Tamandua tetradactyla: one gene and its partner. Each later gene encodes a partner of the first gene's protein in a complex. Links are inferred from orthologs where the notes say so. Each region holds a gene or a part of one and is shown on either strand. Other genes may lie near its edges.

Region 1 (7,590 bases):
GCCCTTTCCCTTTCTGGGGAGGGGGTTGAGAGGGAACCTGAGGGGAGGGGGAGCTGGAGAACGAGCGCCAGAGATTGGGATGAAGGGCAGTAGGAGGCGCCCAGATAAACAGCTGAGATCAGAGAGAGGAGGTAGAAGAAACGGGGAGGGAGATAGGCTGGAAGGAAAGGCGAAAGAACAGCGAAAGAGACTGACAGAGGCGCCAAGATAGGAGGGGAAAGGGAGGGAAAGAAAGGAGGAGGGAAGGGGGAGGGAACCGACAGGAGGGAGGGGAGCGGACCCGGCAAGAGGGAGGGGAGCAGGCGGAGGAGCCGAGCCGGCGTGGGGCGAGGCAAGGCGTGCAGAAAGCACCCAGTGTGCGGAGCGGCGGCCGGGTCCTGCTCCCGCCTCGGAGCCCCGGGCCCGGGGAAGGGGGAGAGGCCACTAGCCCGGTCTATGTCTTTTTCTGACTCCAGTGCAACCTTCCTGCTGAACGAGGTAAACGCGGGCCCCCTCCCTAATGGGTGGTAGGGGAGGGAGACCAGAGGAAGCCAGACCAAGGGTGGAAGGCAACCCGTAGAAGGGAGAAGCCAGAGCTGGCAGCTCCTAAGCATTAGAACTGGGAAGGGAGGAGAGGATTTATGGGAAGCTGGAAAGGGGCAAGATTAGAGGGAGTAGGGAGGGCTCTGCTGAACTCTCCTTGGTACCTCACCCGGAATTCCCTGGCGTCAGTTTAGCCCCTAGAATGCACTTGTTGGAGACTCCTGGAGGGAGGACTTTGCAGAGGTGTTGGCTCCTGCCTCAGTTTCCCCCTTCAAGGCTCAGGGATTAGGATCTACACAGCTTCCTGGTGCAATGAGAAAAGCTAGAATGTATTCTGGAGGCACCCAAGAACTCTACTTCCCAAACCTGGTTACTCAGACTTTGCCCCCTCTGTCCTGCTTCAATGCCTGGCTACTTGCCAGTCTAATCTCGTCTAGGCAGAGATTGGCAGAAGGAGTCCTCTCCTCAAGGCTTGGACCCTGATCCTTTTTTTTTTTTACATGGGCAGGCTCCAGGAACCGAACCCAGGTCTCTGACATTCTGACATGGCAGGCGAGAATTCTGCCACTGAGCCACCATTGTACCTCCCCTGATCCTTTTTGCCCTCAGCATTCTCCCCTTAGGCCCAGCCATGAGAAAGAAAAAAGATTAGGGATACTGACATGTCCTGCTACAGATAGGAATCACTAGGTTGGCCTGAGAATTAGAGAAGACATTCGTCTACCAAATGGTAGAGGGCATTGGTAGCAACCCAGAGATACAACAAGAAGAAAGGGAGGCTCCAAAGCACCAGGAGAACCCAGGGGATGGGCCAGGTGTGAGGAGATTGAATCCATCTCCTGGGATTTGTTGGCATGGCAATTCATGCCTCATGCGCAGACTTATGCACTATTGTCCCAGATGTGGATGAAGACAACAAGGTGTGTGAGGAAGGCGTACTGCTGATACAGGTCCATTGTTATTTGCAGTCTCCAGGACTCCCTGGGATTAGGGAGAGTACAAAAAAGAGATGCCCGCAGATTAGATTCAGGGATGGAGAGTGAAGCAGCCGACTCAGCATCTGTCTTCACTGGAATCCTCTCCTAGGAGCAAGCCCCTTAAGGGTCTTATTGTTTCATACTTCAGATCTCTTCTCTGCCCCCAGAAGAAATGGACAGAAGAAATGGAAGTGGCAGAGAGAATAAAAGAGGAGGATAGAGGGAATGCTATGAAAGTGGGAGAGGGCAAAGAAGTGAAAAGCCAGTGTGTTGGGGGATTCCCAATTTAATATTATATATTAAAATATATAATAACCTCAAATTATATATAATAATCCAATATATAATAACCTCAGGATAGGGAACTGTGAAAGCAAACTGCATTCACAATAGGGACTGGTCCCCTCAGCTGTAGGGGCTCCAGCCAAATCCAGTTTGCCAAACCTAGCAGAAGGAGGATGCTGGGCTGGACGGGGCTTGGACCATCCACAGGCACAGTCAGACTAAAGGCAAACTAAAAATAGTTTTAAGATGAGGCCCCTTCTCTCTCTTTTCCTTGCCAAGCAAGCACAAACAAGTAGCATAGATGGGAAGCCGACTGGTTTAAGGGTCTTCTTCTCTCCCACGCATAGGCCCTTCTACCAAAGAGCCCATGAACCTTGTCAAGTTTTGGTTTCCTGAGTCTCCTCTAGCCCTGAAACAGGAAGAGACTGGGAATTATTTAGAGCAAGATGTTCTATAAATGTTTGTGGAAGGAATAAATTAGTGAGCAGAGATGGGTAAGGAACATTTGGTGGTCCCTCTCCTAGACTCCAAGTCTCAATGCTAAAAGACCCCCCAGAAAGTCTAGCCCAACATTCTTTTAAGGAGCGGGAAATAGTCTCAGAGATAAGTAACTTGACTGGGATCACATAGTTTTTTAGTGGCAGAGCCAAAATTAATATGCAAGTATCTTAACTTCCAAACATCTTTTAGCTACTATACCATATACCCTTCCCACTATCCCTCCCCCATTCCCCACCCTCTGCTCATGGACAGAGAGGTCCCTATTCTAAACTCTTCCCTTCCTGTTCATCTTCCTTCAACACATTATTGAGAGGGAAAGAAGCATCACTAAATGGTTATTAAAGTGATAACAATAACTCCCTACAATTGGGCAGGGATTTTTAGTTTATAGAGGCTCTCACACCCCCATTTTCTTATCTCACCCTCATAGTGAGGTGTGAAAAACTGGGAATAGAGAAAAATCAAGCTCAGGGACAAAGGTCCAGACACTAGGAGGCCTAAGACCTCTCACCAAGTGTGTAACCCCTTGTCTACTTCTGTCATCCCCCTGAGGGGAGTGGGCTGGGCAGGTTGGTGGGTAGGCAGTCTAGACCATTAATCAAAATTTAGAGAACTAACTTTGCTCAGGAGATGAAGAAAGGAGGGAGCTCAATGGGGGCATCTTTGGAGAAATTTCTTCAAGATAAGGCCATGGCTCTGTCTCTAATCTTGGGGCTCCTCTGGAGGAGACTGACTGGTGCAGAGTGGTACATGGAATCTGAATACCTAGCCCTCATCTTTGCTAAGGAGAGAATCTAGTCTTACGCCAGTGCCAGTGACTCTGGGGAGACATGCCTTTTCTCCCTTCCAACTCCAGTGTGGCCAGGACCCTATTTTCTCTCCTACCCAAAATAACCCCCCTACCTCCATCCACTTGTTTCTTCCCCCCTCCCTTGAGGCTCAGCTAAGACAGCCTCTCCCAGCTCCAGTTCCCGAGGAGCTGGCACAGTCCTTGTCAGGGAAGTGAGGAAGGGAACCTCCATCCCTGCTAGACTAAAATGAAATCTGCCAGCCTAACCCCAGCTCAGGAAACATCATCACCACTACCACCACCACCATCTCATCCCACCCCCCCACACACCCACCCCCCACCCCGCCCCTTACCCTCAGTACGGGGTTGGGCAACACAACCCTTTGCTGAAGCATCTCTGGACTGAGGGGGGTGGGCACCTGTTGGGATAGGGGCTGCTTTCATGGCGTTGACTTCCGTCACCAAACTCATTTCTCACCAATTCCATTGAGAGGTTTGCTTTTGGAGTCTCCAGGACTGCCAGGGCCCAGACACACCGCCCTCTCACCTGGGGCCCCTCCCCCGTCTGCAGCTGTCCCTCCCCCACGCCTCTTCTGTTTTCCTCAGTCTCCCCATTTCCCTGTCTCCCCGCTTCCTCCCTCTGCTTTTATCCCTTCTTTTTCTCTCCTGACTCCCGGTAACCTGCGCCCTCTCCTTTCTCAGCTCGAGTCTCGTCTCCCTCCCAGTCTCGGTGTCCCCTCCCCTCCCCCGCTCCAGCCCTTTGTTTCCCGACGGAGTATTTCCTGGGTTGCCTGGCGTCTGGGTCTCCGCATCTCTCCTCGCCCCGCCTCCTCCAAGCCTGGATCCGCCCCACCCGCTGTCTCTCCTCCCTTTCCTCCCCCTCCTCCCCGCCTCCCCCTCTGCCCCATAGGTGCTTGGGGACCCACCTTCTACCCAGCTCCGGTCTACTACCCTCTCCCGGCCCAGTCCAGAGCTCCCCCAGTGGCCAGCGTCCCCCACCGCCTACCCCGCCTTCTCCCGGGGAGGGGAGGCAGGTGGGCGGGCACTATTGTTGTAGGAGCCGGCGCCAGATTCCTCAGCCGCTCCTGGGGTGGGACCAGCGGGGTTGGGGGGGAGGAGTAGGGGGAGCGGTGATTTGAGCTGGGAGCAGCTGGTCTTCGCGACTCGCTGCCTGCTTCGCGCTCTCTCGCTCGCCGCTGCCGCCGCCGCCGCCGCCGCCGCCGCCCGCCGGGCTGCGGGGCTCGGTGGCATCTCTCGGGCGCGGCCGCTGCCTTCGCCCCTGCGTCCCGGCCGCTCCCGCCCCGGCGCCGCTCGCTTCCCCCCACCCGGACTCCCCCATGTATGACGACTCCTACGTGCCCGGGTTTGAGGACTCGGAGGCGGTGAGTGCCCACGGTGAGGGTGGGGGTGGGGAGTTGGGATGGCACCTCCTCTCCTTTGGACCCTTCCCCCAGTTCAGGACTTTGAAAAAAAAAAAAAAAAAGCCTCAGTGGCAGGGCAACGGTGGGGGCGCTGTAGGAAAGTGGGGAGGTGGAATTTCATGCCGGGGGCTCCCCAGTGCCCTAGTCCTAGACCAAGGGCCATCGGATGCGAGCAAGTAGGGGGCAGTTTGGGGAAAAGGCTTGGGCAGGTGGCTCTCAAGCATAGAACGGGAGGAGTGGAGGGAGGAAGGAATGGAGGAGTGGAGATAAATGGCACAGATGCTTTAGAGAGGGCCGACGCAATGTCTAGAGTTCGAAGAGGAGGATTTATGGGATCTAAACACAACAGCTACAGGAGGAGCTGGGGCTCTTGAGGAGGGGGACATTCCAGACCAGTGCCCCAAGTCAGCAAAAAATAAGGGAGCCTGGGAGAACATCAAGGAGTCTGGTCCTAGCCTTTTCATAAAGAGGGATCATAAAACTTGAGAACCTCCATTATCCCTTCCTGCCCTCCATGTCTGCGCATTGCCTTATCTCCTCACACTTCTGTAGCCCAGCTTCTGACCAAGGTTGAAATCCAGGCACCCACTACATAGGTGGGCTGGTTGACCAAGCTGGATCCATTCCACAGCTCCCTGCTGAGGCTTCCTCATTAGCAGTAGGCACCCTGAATCCCTGCTCAGCATGGAGGGCCCGGAGGTGAGGCCAGAGAAGCCGAAGGCCTGAGGTTGGAGAGGAAGCTCTTTGCTCAGAGAACCAGGCAACTAATAAATATTTAATTCTCCTCTTTGCTTTTATCTCCTGACCCACTGAGACAAGGCAGTTCATTAGGCAGTGATTCCCGGAGCTCAGAGATCAGGGACAGGATCTAGAAAGAGGGGGCATGGATGGGGAGCAGCTTTTCAGACTCCTGGAGTTATCAACCTTCCCTTAAACCTGAAAGAAGGTCTCCTTGGAAGAGGACCACCAGATAGATGTCTTAGAAGGGACCCCCTGATTGTTGTGAAGGGTAGAACTGTATGGTTACCAACACTACTGGGTCTAAAAATGAAGTGTATTCAAGCTCTTTCCTATCTCTTGATGCCAGGCTCAGGATAGATGAGTGCTAGGGCTCAGAATAGGAGGCTGTCAGTCCTTTTCTGGGATTGGGCTCCGGCTGGGCCTAGTTCCCCATTGGGCCTCTGGGGCTAATTACCTAGCAGCTAGAGCACATCATTTTCAAGGCCCGTGTCTGAAAAATGAAGGGACAGCTGGCATGGCCCAGGGTGCCAAGGGGAGCTTGAAAAAGGGACCTTTCTGTGGGGCTGGAGGGGAGCCGGGAGGTTCTTCACATCCCTAGAGAGAGAAGGAAGGAGCTGTTGCAAGGTGGATGGCGTTTGAAGGCTGTGTGAAAACCTATTGCTCCCTTCCTGCCCCTTTCTGGTTCCTAGATCCCCTGCCCCCACTTCCCTTTCTCTTGCCTGGCTCCCTGCTCTCCCTGAGGCCCCCTCTGAAGAAGTAGGAGGGAGATCAGACTCGAAATAAATCTACCGGCTCATCTCCCTCCTCGCCTTCCCCCGTGCCAGGCAAGAGTGGAGCTGCAGCCTGCCCACACACTCACCAGGCAAGGGGGGCACCACCAGGGCTCTGTGCCAACTCCTGGCAGCTCCAAAGTACTGAGCCTGTGACTGTTTTGGCAAAGCAGGAGATGGGGGAGACAAGACCCCACAGTGTACTTGGAAGAGGAGTCTTGGCCTCCCTCAGTGACGCCAGAGCATCAGAGATGAGTGAGCCCTGAGGACTTGGGAGTAATGAAGAGGGGGTTCCATTCTGAGCACAGCTTATTTAATATTTAAGGAGAGATCCTGTCATTCCCATCCTAGATGGGAGGCCAGGTAACCCTGATGTCCCAGGCGGGGACATTAAGATTACTATTAGGTTGACAGCCTAGAGGACAGGGAGTAAAGGTTAGACTCCTCTCCCAGCTCAGTGCTAGGCATCTAAGAGGTACCTGATATTAATTTATCCTGCCTTTCCTCCTGTCTCCGAGCCTATCAGCCCCTATCTACTTCACACAGCCGTATCCTGCAGAGGTATCTCTTTTATACTCAGACCCCTGGGAAAGACGTCCCTCCTACTGACAATGCATAGATCCTTCCTGGGGATCAGCCTCTCCTTCCTGCTGCCAAGCAAGCCTTATTTTACTCTCATGAGAAATGAGAAAGAGCAGACAGACTCAACTCCTCTGTAAAATTAAGACTTTCCCCCCCTTGTGCTATCTTCATGCGTTTGGTCTACCACAGATGTTATCTATAGCTTAAGCTCTAGGACCTAGGCTAAGACCAAGCTGACAAGCCCTCCTGCCCAAGAGACGACTGGGGCAGAGGCCAAGTGGACAGTAGGTATGTGTTCCCACTGAGAATCTGGTCTCTGCTGCCTCTTGCGAGGTACTTATGCACAGAGAACTTGGGGAAATATTCCTCGGTCTGAGAACATTCTGGACACTGGACTAAAGTTTCTTCCCCTACACACACACACGAACAGCTTATCTAGACTCCTACCTTGTTTGCCACCTGTACTTAGAATTGAGGGAAGCATCATTTCAGTCTTCTGCCCGTAAAGAAGGGAAACTAAAGTAGAAAACAACATTCCTTTCTCCCTAGACTGAGGAGAAACTCAGATATCCTGACTTCAGGTCTCTTGTCCCAGGGTCCAGCTTCCCTTTTTCATTTGTGTATCTCCCTCATAGCCCTGAAGATGAGCTCTGGGGTTCTCCAAATACACCCTCATTGCCCTTCGTATGGGCAGGATTCAGAGACTCTCTTTGCTTTGCTTACTAGAGACCCTCCCCCTGCGTCCCCAGGGTCTGACTCTTTGGCTGGGTTGCCTGGCACAAGCCTGGCCCTTCTCCAGGGCCTGATCTCCCCTGGGCTTAGGGAAGGAGTTGGGGGGAATGTAGGCCAGGTGGTAGGCAGGGCCCAACCTCACCCATGCCCAGGGAGATAGCTTTGTGTTGCCTTCTCAGTCTGTGTTTTGTTTGCTGCCCACACTTGGCCAGTTGCCCTGGCAGGTGTGGGAGGAAAGTTGGGGGTGGGGAAGAGTAAAGGGGAAATAA
Region 2 (7,620 bases), on another chromosome or scaffold:
TGGCTCCACTGCTACCCATTCTGCAGGAAAGGCATCAACACTCGGAGTCCTCTTAAATCATTCTCAGGGTGAGACTCACACTCTGGATGGCGACGGGGTTTCCAGGGGCTCGTCAAACTCGCCCTGTCCCGGCTCAGGGAGGGCCACTCTTTCCCTTACATGCTGGTGAACTCACTGGCGAGACGTCCCTGTGGCTGCCCAGGCCATGGGCCCCACCGCAGCGGACGCCCTACTCACTCACCTCAGCCCCCGAATGCTTCCGGGGACACTCACGTCACTGTGCTTCATTGTCACTCTCGTCCCACGGAGCAGACACTATGTCTTCTCTGCTTTGCAGGCAGAGAGGCTCAGCAGGGTTAAACATCTCCCACAGGGCTCAGCAGCGGCAGAGCTGGGGCTCAGGGCTGCGTCTGTGCCTATGCCCCAAGCCCCTGTCACTGACGTACACTGGCCTGGCGCCCTCACACATCCCAGGCACCGCCTGAATGGTTACTACTTCTTCTTTTTTCTTTAAATTGACTATTCTATTTTTCTTTTTAAAATATTATTATTGAGAAATCTTCAACATATATACATTCTATAGATGGTGTACGATCAATGACTCACAATATCATCACATGTATTCATCACCATCATTTTCTAGAACATTTGCATCACCCCAGAAAAAGGAATGAAAAGAAACAAGAAAAAACTCATACCATACACCTTACCCCTCCCTCTCGTTGACCTCTAGTGTTTCCATCCACTCTATTTCTTTTACTCTTTGTCCCCTCATTATTTATTTATTTATTAATCCATATTTTTTTACTCATCTGAAATGGACTATTCTTATTTTGGCCCTGCCCTGAAGAAATAGTATTAACGAAAGCACGGTTTGGATACTTCCAATCCCCATTCAATAAAATGTAAATGTCTTAAAATTTAAAAAATGCACGTGCCTGGGCAACCCCCATGTCCCACAGCGAAGGCGTTGTGGGTGTTTGATCTCGTAGCGTTCTTTGCACTGCTGAACTTTAGTAAATATGCTTTTACTCTCCAGCTGCTCCGCAGACACCTGCAGGCCTCCCAGGGCAGCTCTGGGAAAGCCTTGCAGGGCGGGGGGAGGGGACAGGTGACACGCTGTGCAGGGGCCCCCAGGGGATGGAAGTGGGGGCAGAGAGCCAGAGGGCAACGGGGGATCTGAGGTGGAATGCGGAGGTCAGAAGGTGGAGGCACATTAGGATGGCCCCTCGCTTTTTTCGAAATGGTATTTTAAATCAAACACCCAAAGCCATGCTTGAGCCTATTTAAGCCTGAGCTCAAAATCGAATCAGCGCATTACCGAAGGGCAGTTACTTGGCTGTCGGCCTGACGTGGCCTGGCCCCGGCTCCCACCGAAGCCTCCAGATGAAGCTTCCCAGGGCAAACGAAAGGGGTTCATTTCGGATGCGCACAACACAGACAACTCCCAGATGTCCACTTTGAAACGATCTGTAGACAATGTCAGCCCTCCGGATGATGCTCCCTTTGACCTTGACATTCCAGAGGTCGCCTGGGCCTCCTGACAGCCCTCAGCATCTCGAAGCAAGTTAGTCCCTTGTCCCAGGTGGCCCCAGGTCTGCCCCAGCTGCCATCTCTTCTGTCCCTCTGATCTTAAAGCCAGGTGGAAATGTCTTTTCAATAACATAGGGCAGTAAATTATTTGTGCCTCTGTTTCCTTCTTTTTCTTACTGTATCAGTCCTTCTGATCAGTCCATCCATCCATCCATCATTCAACAAACGCTGATGCAGAGCCCATCCTGAGCCGGGTGCTGTGCCTCTCATCCTCCATACCCCCCAGAAGCTCACAGCCCATTAGGGGAAAGTGATCCTTCTGTGGGCCATAACTAACACCATCATCCCAGCCTTCCTGGAATGATTGCCTCCCGGGGACTAAGTGCATTATTTCTAATGCACCCACCAGCCCCCACGCCAAGCGCCAGCGCCCTTGTTTCACAGATGAGGATAAGGCCGTCTGGAGAGGTTAGGACTCGCTCGAAGCTCCACGGCTGGAACACGGCAGAGCAGGGACTTCATCCCGGGACTGGCTGGCGCAGGCACTGATGGGCGGGTGGGTTTCCATTTGCTCACCGCCCCCCACGCCCTCCACCCTGAGGTGCTGGAAGAGAATGATCCCTGGGTGGGAGGGGTGAGGGGCGGGTCATCCCCCAGCCCCGGCTCCCAGCCAGTGGCAGTGGCCAATGAGCCCCTTCCTGGCGGGCAACGCCCTGGGGGAGCAGGCAGCCTGGCTGTGGTTCTATGAGCAGACAGGAGTTTTTAGGAAACTGAGGCTGAAAGTTGACCTGCCTACACTCTCTGAAGCTGCCAGCTGTCTGGTGAGATTTGCAAAGATGAATTCCAAAGGAAGAGGCCCCCCATCTTTAACGCTTTTGCTCACTCGGTTGGAGGACAAAAAAGTTCACATGCAGCGCAGACTTGCCCCTAGGTGAGGAAATTTGCTCTCTTGCTGCTCTCACGAGATGGTCTCGCGTGGCTAACCCTGAGTGTCCCCCACGCCAGGCCCCACCTAAGACACCTCTAAGACGTCAGAGGCTCCCAGCCTTGGGGAGCTTAAGGGGCTCACATCCACCTCACTAAGAAATTTAAAATACATTTTTATTTTTTCAGATGACACGTCAGTTACTTGCATGTGGAAATTAAAATAGCTTCTTTCTAGATATTCTGTCATCAAACCCCAGAACCTCATCCTTTTGCTTCCCTGCCCTGCTTTGCTGATGCAAGTGGCAGGCACATGGTGCGTCTGCCTCAGGCTCTCCAGCACCCCCCGAGGACCCTGTTTCCCGGCGGGACTTTGCCTGGGCTTCTTCTGAGGCCCAGCCCACGTGGGCGGCGTGAACAAGCTCCGAGCTCCGGGGCTGCGGGGCTGTGTCCCCAGGATCTCGGAATTCTCTTGGAGGCAGCCACTCCCCACGCTGAAGCAGGGGCGGTGACAGGCTTCAAGAAGTGAGTGAGTTCACTGTGATGGATTAGCTCCCCCTGGAAACACAGAGGCGGGGAGGGTGGGAAGAGAAGGGAAGCAGAGCTGAGAAAGGTTGTGAGAGAAGCTCTTGGGCGATAAATAATCCAGATGGGGAGAGAGAGCGGTGCCCACGGGGCTGGTTTTAGCACAGGGATTCAGATGCAGGTGAAAGAGCACAGGCTTGCAGCCAGAGCCCAGGATCTCAGCTCAGCTCTGGAGCTTGTTGACGGATAGTCTGGGCTCGTCACAGCCTCTCTCTGGGCTGCAGATTTCCTTTTCAGTCACTTCATAGATTCAAGATTCATAGAGCTTGAAGTTTCCTCCCAGCTCCAATCATTGCTTAAGGGCGTGGACTCCGGGTTCACCACTTACTAGCTGTGCAACCTTGCATAAGTTACTTTGTGTCTCTGAGCCCGGTATTGTCATCTATAAAATGGGAGCTACAGCTGTCCCCACCTCATGGATAAGTGTGACAGTCGGCTGTGATGACGTGTGCAGGGTTTGGTGGAGTGCCAGGTTTATAGTAAGCACTCACCAAAGAGGAGCTAGGGTTAGTGTCATTTCCGTTCTCAGCACTCTGTGTTCTCACAACCAGACCCCTCCAAGACTTGGAAGCTCAGGATCCCACTCAGCTCAGGGCTCTATTTCTGGCCACACCTCCGCCCCTTGGACACACCCTAGAAGAGCCACCTGCTGAGCTGAGAAACCAGAGCCTCAAGCCCCAGCCAGGGTGGGGTGGGGGGCTGTGGACAGCTGCCCTCCCCGCCACTGCGGTGCTCCCAAGCTTTGACGTGGTCTCTGGTGTAACTGCACCCCCATTAGCCTCCTGGAAGTCTTGGTAAATGGACCAACTTCTGTGTTTTAGTTTATTTAAACACATTTATTTTGTAAAGTCATTACCTGCCATTAATGGCAAGTACAACTGAAAAAGTACAACGAAAGCAGATGGACAGACAAGTTCATCTGAATTCTTAGTTTTTGGGGGGGCCACTCTCTGTTTCAAAGGACGCTTTGCCAATGTCAAAAGGTTGTTCAAGACCTACAGCCCCCAAACTGAATTGTTATTCTGGGGCCCCAGAAGGAATGGGAAGGGAAATGGAGAGGAAATACCATCCTCAGCCTGGGGTCTGTGCTGGGTGATGCCCTGCCCTGGGGGCGCCTGGAACCGTCCCTTGACCCGGGAGCCACAGTGGGCTTGGGGCTAACGGCCTGGCCTGGGAGAGGGGGCCCTGGGCGGGGGGTACCCAGGATGTCCCCTAGGCCCGCAGGGCGAGGACCTGGGCTGAGGGGGGGGGCTAGGCAGCCCCGGCCCAGCCAGGTCCCTTTCTCCCCCAGCCCCGAGCAGGCAGAGCCCCGCTCACCAGCCCCCTCCCCAAATCAGGTCCTCGCCCTGCAACCTGAGCCGACAGCGCCCTGCGCGCGCCTGGAGCTGGGCATTACCAGACCCGTCCCTCAGGCCCCTGACGGGGCAGAGCAGCTGCCCGGCCGTGCCCCAGCCCCCGCAGCCCCAAGGCCGGCCCCCTCTGGCTCAGCGGGGACACTAAACTTAGCTCGGGCCGGGCAGCCGCGGCCGCCCCAGTCGTGCCCGGAGCACCCCATCCCTCCACGGCCACCATGTCCCAGACCAAAGCGCTCAAGGTCCGCGTGACCCTCTCCCTCATCCTGGTGGGCGTCGTGCTGGCCCTGGTGGCTGTGGTGACGGACCACTGGGCCGTGCTGAGTCCCCGGGTGGAGCAGCACGACGCCGCCTGCGAGGCCGCCCACTTCGGCCTCTGGAGAATCTGCACCAAGCGGATCGCCGCGCGCAGCAGCGAGGACGAGAGCTGCGGCCCCATCAGCCTGCCCGGGGGTAACGTACCCGCCCTGTCTGCGCTGTCCCCTCCTGCCCTCCCCTTGTCCCCCTGGAAAAATCAAAAAGAGCCAGGTCTCTCAGCCTCGGGACAGAGCAGACATCCAACCCTTCTAGCCCAGGAAAGAGGATCTGAGTTATGTCTGTCCGTGCTGACAGCCAGAACTGGGTTGGGAAATAAGGGCATTTGTCTCCAGCTATTTCTGTCTTGCTGAGGTGTGGGGCTTTTCACCCAGAAAATAGGGCTGGACAGACAGGGCAGATGGCTCAACAAGGAAACTGTGGGTCTTACAGGTGGGGGACTTCTGGTCCCAGCAGCGGTCACCCTGCTGGGCCCCCCTCTCTCCCTACAGAGACAGGCTGGGTGGCTCTGTGTCCTCAGGCTTGAAGGGGCCTATGGGGCTGGCAGGTTCCCTCCCGGCCTCCAGGCAGGGCTGGACACAGGAATGGCTGTGGGATGTCTGGGCCCCATGCAAAATGAAAATGCAGGGTTCCTGGTCCCAAAGTGATTAAAAATTTCAAGATGGCGCCAGGAGAGCATTAAATGAAGCGTGAGACCCTTCTGAGCGTGGCCTGCAGGAACCACCTGTGTCACGTGCCCCTGAAGCCGTCCCTGGATATATAGATGAGCCACCTGCCCTTTTCTCAGAACTTCAGTCCTTCCCTACAGCCTCCCTTAGCTCTGGGCCGTAATTTCAGTTCCCAACGAGTGACTGAACCACACGTTCAGGCAAGAATGTAAGGTATTAGAGTGACTGGTCTTGATTCTGCAAATGGGGAACCCTCTGTATTCACAGGAAATGCGCCATATGTTAGAAGAGAACCAGAGACCTGTCTGGCCACACAGTGTTCATAGACCCCTGAATGAATACAGGCTGGGGTGAGGCAAAGGCCTCTCTTGGCCTCCTCCTTCTCTGTAAAATATGGGTCAGCAACCCAAGTCCCTTCCCATCCCCACAAACATCCTGCCAGTGTGACAGTGGACAAGGGTGTGGGGCATCCCGCCTGATTTTCAGAATTACTTCCTGTCTTATCAGACTGGATGTTCCTTGAAACTTGCCTTTTAAGGAAGTCAGTGCTGAGTCTCCAAATATTTTGCAGTCTATGCAAGGCATGGGCACAGAAGCCCAAATCCCTTCTAGCTGCTCTCCTTTCTCTCCCTTTCCCTCCTGCTTGCTCCAAGAAACCCCTGCCTTGCTCACCCCCACTAGATGCCTGGAAGATTCATAAATACTCAGCTGTCTTGGAAAAACAGAGACTTGGGGCTGAAGGCCTTAACAGGCAAGGGCATGTGTTTGAAGGGTATCATATAACACTGAAGCCTGTGCCCCTCGCCACTGCTGAGCACACCCTGTAAACAGATGTCATCCAGACAACTCACCCGGGCACGGCTGGGCAGGGCAGGGCAGGGCAGGACAGGGCAGCTTCTTCAGGAATCATGCATGGAGACACTTTGTCATGGTTCTGCCCACCAACCTTGGAGACATGCCTTTTAGAGGCTGACGAGTTCGTGGGGCAGATGAGTGAGGGAGTGTGAGCACAGTCCACTCAGGAAGGGATGGCTTAGCGGTTGGGGACCAGTCTTTCCATGGGGGAGCAGTGGGCGTGGCGCAGCCTGGTGCCCGAGCAGGGCCCACCCTGACGCCTTCTTGCCCTAGTCCAGCTGTGAATCCAGCCTCCCATGCTAGTGACACCAAGTGCCACCTTCTGCCCAAGAAACTTCTAAAGTATGTTTCTGCCACGCTGCAAGGAGACATCTTTTTCCTCTCCGATCCACCCTTCCCATGCTCCCTGGGACATTCTTTTCCAGGGAAAGGAAAAGGCTTCACCCGTGGTCTCTCATTCGTCATTAATAGCACAACTATTATATTAACAACAGACACCAAGGTAGCGCTGCATGTAGAGCATTGTTCTAAGTGTTTAAGATATATTAACTTTGGGTGACTTCAGACAAAAATGGCGGAGTAAGGGCCTCCAAAAATCCCTTCTTCCAGAATAGCAATGAGAGCACAGGCAAAAATGGTCAGAATCTACTTTTTCAGATTTCTGGAAATTAACCCCAGTCTTGCAATGATCTGGGGAACATTCATTCAAGAAAATCGGCTGAATCGATAAAAACAGGAAGCTTTGTGGCGTTTTAACTTGCCCTAATCCCATACACCCCAACCCAGCTCCACAGTAGCCTTGAAAATGAATATTCTGCAATCTCGGTGAAAACCAGCAGCCCGGCAGCCACTGCAGGGAGCAGAGGTGGTTGGAATGCCTGCCAAACCCAAACCCAGTGAACTGTCACTCTTTGACCTGTCAGGTGGTTCCCTGGGAGACCCCACTTGCAAGCTATCTTTACTTGACCTGGTTCTGTGTTCACCCAGTGTCAACAGTCTTTTTCTAAAGAACATTTGTTAAAAACAACCAGAGGCGATTGTTTAACATCCCAGCTGCCTGAGGCAGTAGATAGTAGTTGGAGAAAATAATAGACTAACCAAAAAGTCTAAAAGGAGAAGTTGGAGAATGGGATGTCCATAGGGAGATTTGAAAAGCTCCAACATATTTCTGGGAATCTAGAAAGCCACGCACCTTTGTAGGCCAGTGTGCGCTCAGGAAGACCTGAGAAGGCCCCATGCTCTTACCTCTAGCTGATGCTGAGGCTTGGCACAAGCAGGAAGTAAAGTCTAAGACAGTTGTAAATGGCCTGGCTGAATGTTGAAGGTGTGCCCTCAGCATGCAGACAGAGCACCTCAATGAAGACCAGGAGATATATAGGTTACACACA

The links.
Region 2: CACNB3 (region 1) and CACNG1 share a complex: the UniProt entries of both Homo sapiens proteins name them as parts of the calcium channel complex. The link is inferred for Tamandua tetradactyla from reciprocal best matches to the Homo sapiens genes CACNB3 and CACNG1.

The regions. Positions count from the first base shown.
Region 1 is NC_135333.1:109,718,093-109,725,682, forward strand, and holds the start of CACNB3 (voltage-dependent L-type calcium channel subunit beta-3), read left to right. Parts: upstream 1-4,386; 5' UTR 4,387-4,412; coding exon 4,413-4,457; intron 4,458-7,590. UniProt on the Homo sapiens protein: Regulatory subunit of the voltage-gated calcium channel that gives rise to L-type calcium currents. Increases CACNA1B peak calcium current and shifts the voltage dependencies of channel activation and inactivation.
Region 2 is NC_135332.1:7,078,445-7,086,064, reverse strand, and holds the start of CACNG1 (voltage-dependent calcium channel gamma-1 subunit), read left to right. Parts: upstream 1-4,558; 5' UTR 4,559-4,612; coding exon 4,613-4,847; intron 4,848-7,620. UniProt on the Homo sapiens protein: Regulatory subunit of the voltage-gated calcium channel that gives rise to L-type calcium currents in skeletal muscle. Regulates channel inactivation kinetics.